3 linked regions of the Drosophila melanogaster genome follow. The protein of the gene in region 2 interacts with the protein of the main gene of each other region in a pairwise test. Each region holds a gene or a part of one and is shown on either strand. Other genes may lie near its edges.

Region 1 (2,856 bases), on a different chromosome or scaffold from region 2:
AGTGGCGTACCCCAAAAATCACCTCAACAATCTAAGTTAGGTTCTGACTAATGTAAGCAAATGCGTATTTCCTATCGATAAGATTGCACAGCTTTATCTAGCGTTGAGTTGAAGTAACTCATTGATAAGGTTTACAACAGGTTTATATGCATGATTACTAATAGTTCAGCGTTCAAAATAAAAACAAAAATATTATTCTTGAACAAATGGAATGGAAAAGAGCCAATAAATCAAAGATATGCTCAGTTAAGAATTCATGACATTCGACTAATACGATAAGCCCACGTATTAATAAAGAATCCAGTGATTGATTGACTGATTGATTGATTGTTTTCCTAGTGAAATATTAGTAATGACGTGTTACCTCAAGAATTTGATAGTACCCGAAAATAAGCTATCATAACGCACCTAAAGAATGACGACTTTTTCAATGGATTATCTTTATGACGGTCCTATGGGAATTCCAAAAAACCGTCCTTATCTTATTAGGCGCATATATCATCATACTCGAAATGGGATTGTTTGTTGGCATAGAAGCTACAAGTAATAAAACTTGAATCACACATAGGCGTGACTAACTAAAGTTAGTTTATATATTTAAAAGCAGCATATTTTTTAATCACACACAAATGTACATTTGTTGATATCACACTATATTAACCGATCTAGATTACAGTTCAGTTCTTATCGCGGATGCATTGGAGGTCCTGGGGCCACGTATCCTGGACCATATGGATACGGACCATGCGGCGGCGGAGGATTGTAGCCGGAGCTGTTTCCGTGAGGAGGTTCGTGGTAAATCGGATGCACTGGCGTGTGGAACGGGGGCTGTGGTTCATGGTGCGGAGGTCCATGGTGCGGTGGTCCGTGGGGCGGTGGCCCATGAGGCGGCGGGTTGTGGTGGTGGTGCGGTGGTGGAGGAGGCATCTTTGCTTGGCGGGCTTCTGTTGTACACTAAACTGGCTCACTCCTGCCAGACCTTTTATACAAAAGTAACATAGTTTCAGTAGGCTGTAATCTTATCTGCATTCTAGTGGAGAGGGACTTTCTTTTATATATAATTGTCTACCTTATCTGCTGGCTTTTTGATACTTAATCATACTTAATCAATTCTTGCTTCAATATTCTTCTAATTGCTTATTAGAATCAGTATCTTTATAATGGTGTTATAAAATTAAACAATTTCTAAAATAAAAACATTTTGCTCTTGGTGAAACTAACTAGAAGTTAGTGAAGATATTTTAATGTTAGTTTGTGGCTTAATCACAGTTAACGATTAAGTTTTTCCATATCAGTTTATAACGTTAAATTCGGCTTATATTGTATTATAGTTCTCATCGAGGATGCATTGGAGGACCGTGGTGTGGTGGTCCATGATGATGGTGGTCGTGGTGCGGAGGTCCATGGTGCGGCGGTCCGTGGTGTGGTGGCCCGTGATGCGGTGGCCCGTGGTGTGGAGGACCATGGTGCGGTGGCCCATGGTGGGGAGGTCCATGGTGTGGTGGCCCATGATGATGGTGGTGGTCGTGGTGCGGTGGAGGTGGCATCTTGACTTTTCTGACTTTAGTTGAGTACTAAGCTAAAGCCTATCCTGTCAAACCATTTATAGGAAAATGATTCGAATACGTTGTAATCTTATCTAAATTTCAGATAAGACGAGCCCAGTTCGGTTGATAAGTAAGTTTCGGGTTTTCCCACAACAACACTTCGCTCAATAAAAACAAATGTATGACATTCGAAATTAGTAATAACAAACAAGCGAATTGTTTACTGATATGTCTATATGTGACTTAAAGAATAAGTTAATGACGACTTTGCATGTAGTTCATAAGTACAACAATATGGAGATGTTATAATATTTTATTTTTGTAAGCAACAATCAGCAACAATCAGCAACAAATTCTTAAGCTTAGTACGTTGCACTTAGGACGTGTATTATAATTTAAAAAGCATTTAGATCTTCAAATCATATGTATGCTTTGTTCAAATTAATGGAAGCTTAGAATGCATTAAGCAGTATCACCAATTCAAGATCATAAACATTGAAGATATAGAAAAGAGTAGAGCTATGTATTTTGTACAGGCTTTTATTTCTTTGGTTTGAAGAGTTTTTAAGACTTTCTATTAGAAACTAAGTTCCCTAAAAAGTATCCATCTTGTTTTGTTCTGTATAAAATTGAATCTTATTTATAGTCCTTGTCCATGGGCCTAGTGATGTCCGTGATGGGGCTTCGGATCTCCGTGGTGAGGGGGATGCGGTCCTGGTTGGTGATCCCCAGGATGCGCAGGACCCTTCGGTGGGTGCGGTTGGTGGGGCTGGTGCGGTGGTGGTGGCATGTTTCCAAAGCGATTTCCGTTCTGAACTAAAGTATTACCCCGATTTCCACGCTATATATAGTGACGAAAGACTGCTGGAGGCATTGGTTTTCCCATTAAAACATTTTATCAGCCTGTTTTGCGATAAGGTGAGTACTTGGTGGTCATATCGGAATTTCCCTATGACAACGCAACGAGAAAATCACACATCTAGCTTCCCTGATTTTTCAATCGAACAGGATTTGTATATTCGTATGATCTTTTGAAGTGGGAGGAGTGTGCATTCTTGTATTCAAATTTTTTATTGTATAAAATTTTCTCGTGAACAAATTATGGAAAAGAATCTGTGGAATACGCTGCAGGAAGTCGAGCAAGTCGAGGTTGCTTTTAAGCAGACCTTGAGAAACATTACCGATATCCAGAACCGATACAAAACGGTTTCGGCCTTGAAGAGCAAGGCCTCCAGGCGCCAGGAATCCTTCGAGGCGGAGATCCAAGGTGCCATTACAGCACCCAATCCTGCCAAGAAAAGGAGGGTGG
Region 2 (4,872 bases):
CTCGATGCTCGATGGCCAGAGAAAGAAACCAAACGGCCAGCCGAAAATAAAAGGGCCAAATCAGCGTGTAAGATGCCGGGGCCATAAATTTTAAAGTAATTTTCTCCTGGCCCCGAGTAATTTATGGGAAAATATTAAGCTGCCCCAAATACTCCACATCCAGATCCAAATCCAGATCCCAACTAGCGCAGACAACCTAAATTCGACCCCAAAAAACTAGCCAAATAGAGTAATTAAATCGGTGGCTGACCAGCTTCAATCCACTAGTCCTTGCTGGTCGAGGATCATTCCAGCTCATTCCCGATTCCCAGCTGAACCGGCTGAGTTATGGGCACCCCATCCTCCTGCACTTTGGGTCACGATTATCTGCATACGCAGCCGGCAATAATAATCTCAAAATTGGCGCACTTAAGCGAGGATCCTCGGCAGGCGTAATTTGAAAGTTATTTTGTTGCCGGTGCGGTGAAATTATTGAGCAATATGCTGATCTGTAAAATCATAAATAAAAATATTTGTACTTGACCGCAGCGGAGCCAGGGTTTTGCCCTGGAATGAGGATGGGAATGGGATTGGGAATGGGAATGGGCATCCACCTTCGCTCCATCTTCATCTCATCTCCTTCCACCCGGACGACTTTTATGTTATGTTATGAGGTGAGATCTTGGATCCCGGACGCGGGCTCCGGATGGCGAGTCTGCGCCCGCGGCTTAACGATTGATAAAGTCTTTTTATTTACAAGCTGATAATGATGGTGTAGGTGCAGCTTTTGGCATTGCGACGGTTTTCATGTAATTTATGAGCAATTTGCAGACAATTTTCGAGGTCCGAGCTCGTGGAATGCGCGGAAAGTGTAGGACTGACCCAAAGATGTGGGCTAAGTGGGTCTCAAAGGGGGACGCAGTCCGGTCAAGTGAAAGATCTACAAACGGAATTTATGGGAATTAAGCCACTTGCAAATGGAGTGCCCCAAATAGAGCTCGACTAAACTCGGTGAGAAACTCTCAATTGGAACTTATGTTTCTACACTTCTTACACAGTATATCTGTGGGTTTTGATTTATGGTAATTTAAATTGTTCCACCTTGCTCATCGTCTTAGGTTTCAGATAATTCTCCAGACACTGTTTACCATTCCAATCCCATCCAGCACGCTTCCACCGAAAGCCGAAAACTATTTTGTAATATTGATAACCATCTCGGCGGTGGGGAATGGAGCTCGGTCAGGCCATTAAAATGTCACAACAAAACGCCGAACTCATTTTTCGATGCGGCACTGGGCCACAAGCGACCATTAAACCTGCAACTTGATGGGCAGCTTCTATAAAAACAGAAGACTCCGGGCACGAACTAAGCGAACCAAATAGCCAGAAGTGTCAACTGCGGTATGGTAGAGCCAAGAACTCTGGGTAAGCCGATTATGGGCCACGACTTTCGGGAACGGAACGCACATAAAATAAATGTCGCTGGCAGAGATGTCCGATCTCCGGAATCGTGTTAGGCGTGCTCCGCGGCTCAGGAGGCGGGGCTACCCACTACTGGGACTACTGCTTTCATGTGGCGGTGGTGTGGATGTCACCTACTCCTACTCCTGCTCCTCCTCGTTCTGCCTGCGTTGTTATTGCTTGTGTCGCTGCTGATGATTGTCATTAACATCACATTACCACAAGTCAAAGTCATGTTTTTGATCCCAAATAAACCCCGAGAGCTCAGAACTGAGATACAGCGAATGAGACACATAGTCGGCACTTGGTTGGAAAGTTATGGAGCAGATGGGATGGGATGGGAGAAGACGAAGAGTAACCACAGGAATGTGGGGAAAAGGGACAGTTTTCAATGCGATGCTCGATAGCAGTTGGCCACCTTGTTGGCCATCGGGACAAATCTGTTATGACACCTGACTGCGGGCCATGGGTTTTCAAAGGAAGGAGAGGGATTCAAGTGGGGGATTAGGGTACAATGTGTTGACCACACTATAATCATATTGGTTAGTAAACCCATTCTTCCCAAGCCCCTTAAGACCATCAAATCTTTATCCGACTGATCGTGAATGTGTCAAATCTTTCCACTTCCATCCCAAGTGTTTACGCTTGAAACCAAACCTAGTGAGATATTATCTTCTACACGGCGATCTGCATAATTATGCTAAACACATTAAATCCATTCATAAATCTCTGGGCAATCGTCATCCACAAAGGGAACACCTCGGCGAGAATTTCGATGGCCAGATATGAGCTATTATTCATGTCCCGCGTGGCTCGCGCTCCCATTTGTATTTGTCCAAGTCTTTTGTGGGTGATGAAGCCCAGCGGGGTGAATTTACGATCTTGGCCAGGGAAGCACTGAAATAAAATCAATAAACCAGTCGCTGGGCACAGCCAGAAATAATGCTTAAGATGCAAATTATGCAGATGAGTCGAGGCCAAAATATTCGAGCTTGTCACTGGACCGAAAATCGAAATTCACCTGCCCGGCGAAATCATATTTCTTGTTGCCCAATCGTTGGAGGCGTGGTCCCGTCCCCCGTCCCCCATTACCACCATTCCCACAAACTTGGCCATATAGAAACGGGGACTTACTCGAAGAGCTGCTCGATCGCTGAAGACGCCTCTTCCAAAACAACATTGTGTTCCTCCTCTTTTGGCGCTGATAAGATCGTCTGCTGATTGGTTTCGTTATTTCGTTATGTGATCACTGGCTATGCGGGTGTGGGTCTATGGCGAAATGATCCCTCTCGCGGAGCAACACAGCTGATTAGCATAAACTTCGAATCACTCAGGAACCGAGCTCTCCCGAATTGTATCTTTCAGATACAGCCACGGCTGAATGGCAACTGCACTTGCCCAACGCGCACAACAAATTGAGACATTAGCAGCCGGCCAGCGAGGAAAGTTATGACCCGAGCTATGTGGAGTGGTTTCAATTCGTTTTTTCCCTCAGGTGTCTCAGGTGTCAACTGGAGGCGAGGTGTGCTCAATTAGCCGCCCGATTTCAGCACTTCCGTTAAGCCGAGCAACTCGGACTTCTGGCCCGCTCGACGGTTAATTAACGAATAAAAAGTCGCTCCGCTGCCTCGAAAAAAAACCTCCGAGCTCGACTTGAGCTCGCTCTGCCGCCAGCTCTTCTCGTCTGGCGCGCTGGCTCGCTGGCTCGCTGGTCTTCCGCGCTCCCTGCCACAATGGAAACGAACTGAAAATGTGTTACACCGAAACGCCGGGCGGCGCAGTCGACGCTCCGAAAGGGGCAGTCGTCGCACATTGGGGCCAGTGGGGACATAAAACAGGTGTAAGAAGCCCAGACGATCTGAATGCGAGCGACATATGGCTAATAGCCAGCCCATGGGCTGGATCGAGATGGAGATGGCGCGTTTTATGGGTTTCCAGGGTGCGGACACAATTAGATGTTCGTAAAAAGTGGCGTTTTATTTCACTTTTCAAAACAGGGTCCACTCCGCAGACTCGTTTCTTGCGGGCTGGCGACAAAATTATTAATTATCTCACAAACACTGGACAAACATGGCTAACAACTGGCTGGAGTTAAAAGGTAGTTACATCAGTGGTATCAGCTTGCTTACAAGCTGGGTTAGTCCATTAAAAAGCTATCACAGAACTGAGTCTTAAACTTAAAGTGTAATTTTAAAATATTATTAATATTTTTCAACACCTCAAAGATGTAATTCAGTGTGGCGCTGACTGCGCAGTCGCCGCCGGCGTCGCAGTTGGCGTCGCGTTGGTGGCGGTTCACTGAATTTCGCTGACTGTAGGTGGTTGTTGCTGCCCCCAAAATGTGTAACAGCAACAACAAGAGTCTGGCCAAATCGGCCAACAACAACGATCGTTGGCTCGTGCAGAGTTCAAAATGCACGCAACCTGCAAGACAGGCGACTATTGTTTATAGCCCGCTTGGATTTGTTTTTTTTTTTTTGCTCTTAACTCTTTCTTTTCGCTGGCTGCCTGCACATTTATTACTTAACGCTTTGATGCGTTGACGGTTTGATGGTTTGTTCTTCTTGGCCATCAGTTGCCCGCTTGCCGTGTGCCCCTCCGTTTGACATAGTGCACTTGGCCATATTCGCTCGGTTTGGGCCCCCTCATCATCATCGTCATCGTCGTCGTCGTCGTCGTCGTCCTCATAATCAGCCCTCTTTTTTGCTATATGTTCATCAAGCGAATCAGCGTAGCGAAGCATAAAGCCAAATTAACATAAACAACTTCTTTTCGACTTCCATATCTTCTATACACGGAAAATCGCTTTGATTATTACAAGCTATCTTCAAATTAAGATTGTCATATTTATAGTTTGGGATTCATGTTGAAATAATTTCTCTGTAGATACATTTCTTTGCTGTGAGCACTTAACCTAATCATATTTCATTCTTAACCCGATCTTATTTTCGTTCAGTGTGCTGCACGGCTTGCTGCTCTCAATCGCCCACATGGCCAAGTGCTCCTCCTCATCCCATCTTTTGCCCATTTCCTATGCGGCTATGTGGCGGAATTAAAGACCTTTTTACCATATACCATCTAACTATTTTCCGTCTGCTATTCTTCTACTGTCTAATTGGAATATGAATACGAATTTCATTTGTTGGTAGTTTGTAGTTTGTATTTTGTAGTTTATAGTTTGTTTTGCTTTTCTCCGGTTGGGGGATTTTTCTTGTGACAGGTCAGAAAGCCGCGCAAATTATTGGAATCACTAAAGGTAATGATCCAAATTGATGTTAGACTATGGTGGCTTCATCTTCATTGCACAACTGGAACTACATTCATATTTAAATATACGTTTTTGCTTACCAACCCACTTATTATGCACTTTTGTTGCGCGATTTAAATGTGAGTTATAAATATTTATGGACGCAATGAGTGCAGTCATGTGTG
Region 3 (5,048 bases), on a different chromosome or scaffold from region 2:
GTCGAGGCGTTAAAGGCCATCATCCCAGCATCTATATATGTATCTATCTATCTGCTTGTATCTCAATATCTGGCTAATCGCCGACAAACAACAACACGTGCCTCCCTATCAGACTCTCTTTCACACTTTGTTAGCGCCACCACATCTGTGGATTAATTAGCTTCTGAATCACAGACTGCACGCACTTGAAAAGCGCATTTTTTATAGCATCTTTTAAAGGTGCGGAAACTCTGATACGTGTACCTATATACAACTGCGATCTTAGAGATGGGTCAATAAAGATATTAAAGCTATTAGATAAACTTTTGACATTTTGGTGTGCTCGTACAAGGAAAAGATTATATCACAATCTACACATTGTCATTCGCTATTATTAGGAATTTCTTTAACAACTTAGGCAGATAAATTAATCAGATGAATTACAGCCAATCAAAGAAACCAAATATATCAGTGCCACTTTTTTGACCGCAACTGTATGGCAGACCGCTGAATGAGATTAACCCATTTTCCCGCTAATGAACGGTGCCCATTTGGCGGGGGAATGGCTTTCAATAAACCCAAATAGAACCAAACTCATCGACAGCTCATGAAATATGCGCACAGCGTGAAAAGAAATGGCCAGAAGCACAAAGAGAGTGAAAGAACGGTTAGGCGGTCGAATGCAAATTCTCCTGGAATTTGGCCAAGTAGAAAATAGGTTTAGTTTTTGGTTAAAAAGGTAGAGTTACAAAACAAATTTATTGCTCGACCTTTTTTTTTTGGGGCTTAGTGCAAGCTCATTTGTTGTTTTGCCAAAATGTAAATGAAGTCAACGTTGTCGGCCGACTGACTGACATTTCCCATTAGCCGATTCGGCCACGTTATATTGTCTGCAGATTCTGGCCATGGTGAACTTTTGCCTAGACGGATTTCAGCACTTACTTCTTCTCCTTCTTCTTCTTCTTCTTCTTAAGGCGAAGAACCGCACTTTACAGGGTCTTTTCGACGATTGTTTACATTTATGGATGCATAATTGGGTGGCATGCCAGCCCCCCCTCACCATCTACCTAAATGTATTTAAATTTTGCCCACTAATTGACTCCCACAAGCCCACAAACTGCAAAGATGATGGGCTGAGAAGTTGGATTTGAGTCTGTAACCGAAGCCCAATGAAACTGCAACTCATGCCGATAGCAACTTCCTTCCTTTGCCTCTCGAGCTCTTCATCACTCACTCTTCGCTCGGATATAGTATAGTGTATATATACTATACGATTTATATATATATATATACAAGTGTCGGGGCAATTGTCGCATTCGCAATCGCAGTCGGAATCGGAATGGCAACACCTACTGCACATTTTAATTTAAGCTTTTTTTTCGGGCCGCCCCGTTTTCAGTATTAAATGCATTTGTTTTCGAAGGCGTGTTGGCAGTCTGAAACTCATCCATCTGTTTTATTCAAGGCTATGTGTGAACTGAGAAAAATCGTTCTCAAACCGAAAAAAAATCATGAAACATGAAACTAGACCTTTTTAAGATTTTAAATGAATTGCCATTTATTTGAGGTTTCATTTATTTCTTACTTATTGCCAAATATATATGAGTGCTGAAACAATTATTGACAATTCTTATTTATTGGCTTAAAGCCGGCAATATACTGGTTATAAAAGCCAAAAATATATGGCATATTTTAAAGGTCACATGCAAGTGTTTTGCATTTTGTTAATATCAGGCCATTAATTAAAATAAAATTGTCAAAAAGGCTAAATACTTTTAACAAGAATTTCAAAGATTAATATATTATATATTTATATGAGATTTAAATAAGCCAGACTTTAATAATTTTTAAGCATCAAAACAATGGCAACAGCTTTTTTCAGTGCACATGTATCAGAAAAAAGAGTTTGAGAGATGAAGAGCCAGAAAAAGTTGCTGAACCCAAATTAACTTGACATTGTGCTGCTAATTCAGCACTAATCTCTTGAATTGATGGCAAAAAAGGAACTATTTACGAAACTGAGACGTCTCAAATTGTATAATATTCAAATATGAATACGCAATCCGAGGAGGAAGCCGAAAAGCACAGCAGCAAACGCAGATGTTGTCAACCTTGAGAGCCAAAGCCGTGTTTTCAGCTCGCATTTAAATGAAAATGAAACTGAAGTGTAGCAAACAGCAAACACCAAACAGAGCGACCAAAAAAAAAAAAAAAAAGTGCGTAAGCAGGAAGTCCAGCCGTACAGTTAAAGAAAAAGTGGGCAATTATGAATGAAAGATGCTGAGCACTGCGTTTTCCTCCAGGAAGGCGCAACAGGTGCAAGGGCTAGGGTTTCTCTTCGTTTTTCCATGCTTTTTTCGTACTTTTTTCCTGCTTTGCATGCGTGTCTCTTGGTCTCTGCGAACTCACCTTTCTGCTCAATTACTTTTGTTTTTTTTCTGCAGTCGCTGGTGTTGCTGTTGCTGCTGCTGTTGTTGTTGTTGTTGTGACGAAACTGTTGCAAAATTGCTGATATTTTCCCAATGATTACGTATTCGCAGAGCGACGACGAGGAAAAGTGCTTGCCCCTAACTGTTGTTTATTTCTTTACGTATATGTATGTACGTATATTTCATCAATGCTGCAACAATGATTTTCTATTATTATTTATATTGATTTTGTAATTGCCTTTTTGCTACAATTGCCGTTTGCTTTTCACTTTATTAATTTCACTTTTTCGATGCTGCTGGGCTGTGTGGAAACGAGTTTGCCATAAATTGTAATATTTAATTTGGACACGGGTATTTATGCGTCTTTTAAACTCGCGCGACAGAAATTTCTAATTCGCCAGCAAATTAATGAATTCAAAATTGTTGCTATCTCGGCATTTTGTGAACGCACTTCAATTGCATAACGGCGAAGACTGCGCGCACAAAAATTCGTGATGATGACGACCTTTTTTTCCAGCAGCTTCTTTCTCTTCTTTCTCAGTTTGTTTTCTTTTTTGATAATATTTTTTATTGGCTGGGGATTTGCTTTTCTTTCTTAGCTGCACTGCCGACGAGCCAGCGAACCAAACGCACTCGACGACTTTCGCGACTCGACTGAAGAATCGAAGGCGAAAAGCAGAGCCGGGCTTTCGTGGCGGCAGAGCCGAGCTTACCTGGCGGCCTTACCTGCCTTTTTTCTTACCGTAAGTTCGGTTACGTTGCTTCGGTATTTCTTTTACCTGTCTTTTTTTTTTCTTACCTTGTCGCTTCATGGCTAAGTTGGCTTAATAGCGTTTAGCGTGTCTAAAAGCTTGGCGAAGCTTTTTTGGAAAAGAGTTCCTACAAGAGCGCATTTCTAGCTCTTCGAATGGGCGCTCTCTTAGGCAGCTCTTTTGGGCTGCATTTTTGTTGAATTCCCAGCAAGATTTGGTGGTCATCAATCTCATCTCCCTGCTTTCTACACCTTAATTACATCATCGGCATATGTTTCTTGTCGTTTTTTTCTTCTTTTGCTTATCCAAAATGTTTTAATTTTTATTTATCAACTCGTTACTTAAAAGCTTTTAGGCGAGATTTTTTGGCAGGCCTAACGGTTCTGGATTTTATATTTGTTTTTTATGGCCGATGCGCCTCTTATTCTAATGGCTTTCTGAAGGTCAATCGAAATGTCAAACTACCTGCGGTTCTACAACGCCCGCAGATCTCTGGAATTTATGTGACAGGCAATTAAAAATCTGCATTATACAAATAACACCGCTGCAACAAGTGCATGAGCCAAGAACTTGTCCGAGTTAGCCGAGTCTTTTTCGCAACTCGTTTTGCGGGCAGAAATTAAATTGCAAAATCACCAGGCGCAACCAAAAGTGACACGAGGCAAATGCACTAGTTCCATCAAATTGAAATGGTATTAAAACCATTCTGCTGGGCTTGTAAAATGCAAAAGACAAGACACTTTGGTAGAATTTAAATTTTGAATACCCTATGGAAAATAATAATAAATATTCGGGTCAACGATTTAATAGCTTAATATTTTAAGACAATGTACTAGCACAAGCAACTAATTTGAATAAATCACGCAAACAGAGCACTATAGTTGTTTAAACTGATATGAAGAAGATTAACTAGAGGCAAACATTTTTAAAAATTTTATATCACCACTAAATCCTTGTTTATTGCGTTCAAAATGTGCTTAAAATATACACTGCCTGTGTATATAGCGAATAAAGATCGTGAGGCTGCTGATGATGACGGACGGGCCCAGCAACAATGCTGGGAATGCTGTCTTGAAATCCGCAGCGCGTAAAATTATAAATTCATGTCGACGCAAGCCCAAGTTCGTTGCCTAAGTCTTTTGTTTTGATACGACTGCTTGCTGCTTCTTCTTGCGCATGTTTATCGATAAGAAGCGCACAGAGTTTCCCATTTAATTTGTCTAAGCAAATATGACTTCATTACGTGCCAAAAAAAAAAAGGAAAAAATTCCGGTTCGCATACATAACTCATCCCCAACTAATGACACCGTTTGTATAGCCAGGCAATAAGAAGTTTTGACTACTGGCGTATAAACATTTCGCTTGGGTGCTAATTACGGCCAACAACAATGGGAGCCAGCATAGAGTCTCGGCCAGCAATCAAGTTTAATTGATGCTATTATCAAATTATGAGCATTTCCAGTGCGTTTGAAGAGGAGTAGCATTCGTAGGTATGACAGTCCGAGTCACGCGGATGGCATCATAAAAGCTGATGAAACTGCAAAGTGGGGGCGTAGCTGTCGTTTTGCATTTGCTGTTAATGCGAAGCAGTTTCCACCGTTATTGTTCATTTCATACATCTTAATATGCAGCCCGCACGGCTTTGCACTTGTTACACTTTGGTAATCCATATTCAATTACCATGAGACAACGCTGGCATCGAAAATCGCTGGTATGCGGGGGTTACATAACATTCGAAACGGCTCCAAAATCAATTGGTCGCGTTAATGAAAAGTGAAAGACCAAAGTGAAAGACGCCCATAAAAAAGGGAGAGAACCCACAGGTGCTGGCATAATTGTTGTTACTTTATCGATAGCCAATTAAAGTCAAGTTCAAGTGGCCGCACCT

What was found.
Region 1: the proteins of CG7991 (region 2) and CG5011 interact in a two-hybrid assay, tested with the Drosophila melanogaster proteins (one large-scale study listed by BioGRID).
Region 3: the proteins of CG7991 (region 2) and exp interact in a two-hybrid assay, tested with the Drosophila melanogaster proteins (one large-scale study listed by BioGRID).

What each region holds. Positions count from the first base shown.
Region 1 is NT_033779.5:1,198,931-1,201,786, reverse strand, and holds CG5011 (uncharacterized protein), read right to left. Parts: upstream 1,117-2,856; 5' UTR 928-1,116; coding exon 685-927; 3' UTR 567-684; downstream 1-566. Other genes in the region: CG43349 (uncharacterized protein), read right to left, coding at 1,335-1,547; CG43348 (uncharacterized protein), read right to left, coding at 2,209-2,337; CG5139 (uncharacterized protein), read left to right, coding at 2,649-2,856.
Region 2 is NT_037436.4:1,672,870-1,677,741, reverse strand, and holds the start of CG7991 (uncharacterized protein), read right to left. Parts: upstream 3,034-4,872; 5' UTR 2,621-3,033; coding exon 2,575-2,620; intron 1-2,574.
Region 3 is NT_033778.4:11,937,575-11,942,622, reverse strand, and holds the start of exp (expansion), read right to left. Parts: upstream 3,067-5,048; 5' UTR 2,389-3,066; intron 1-2,388.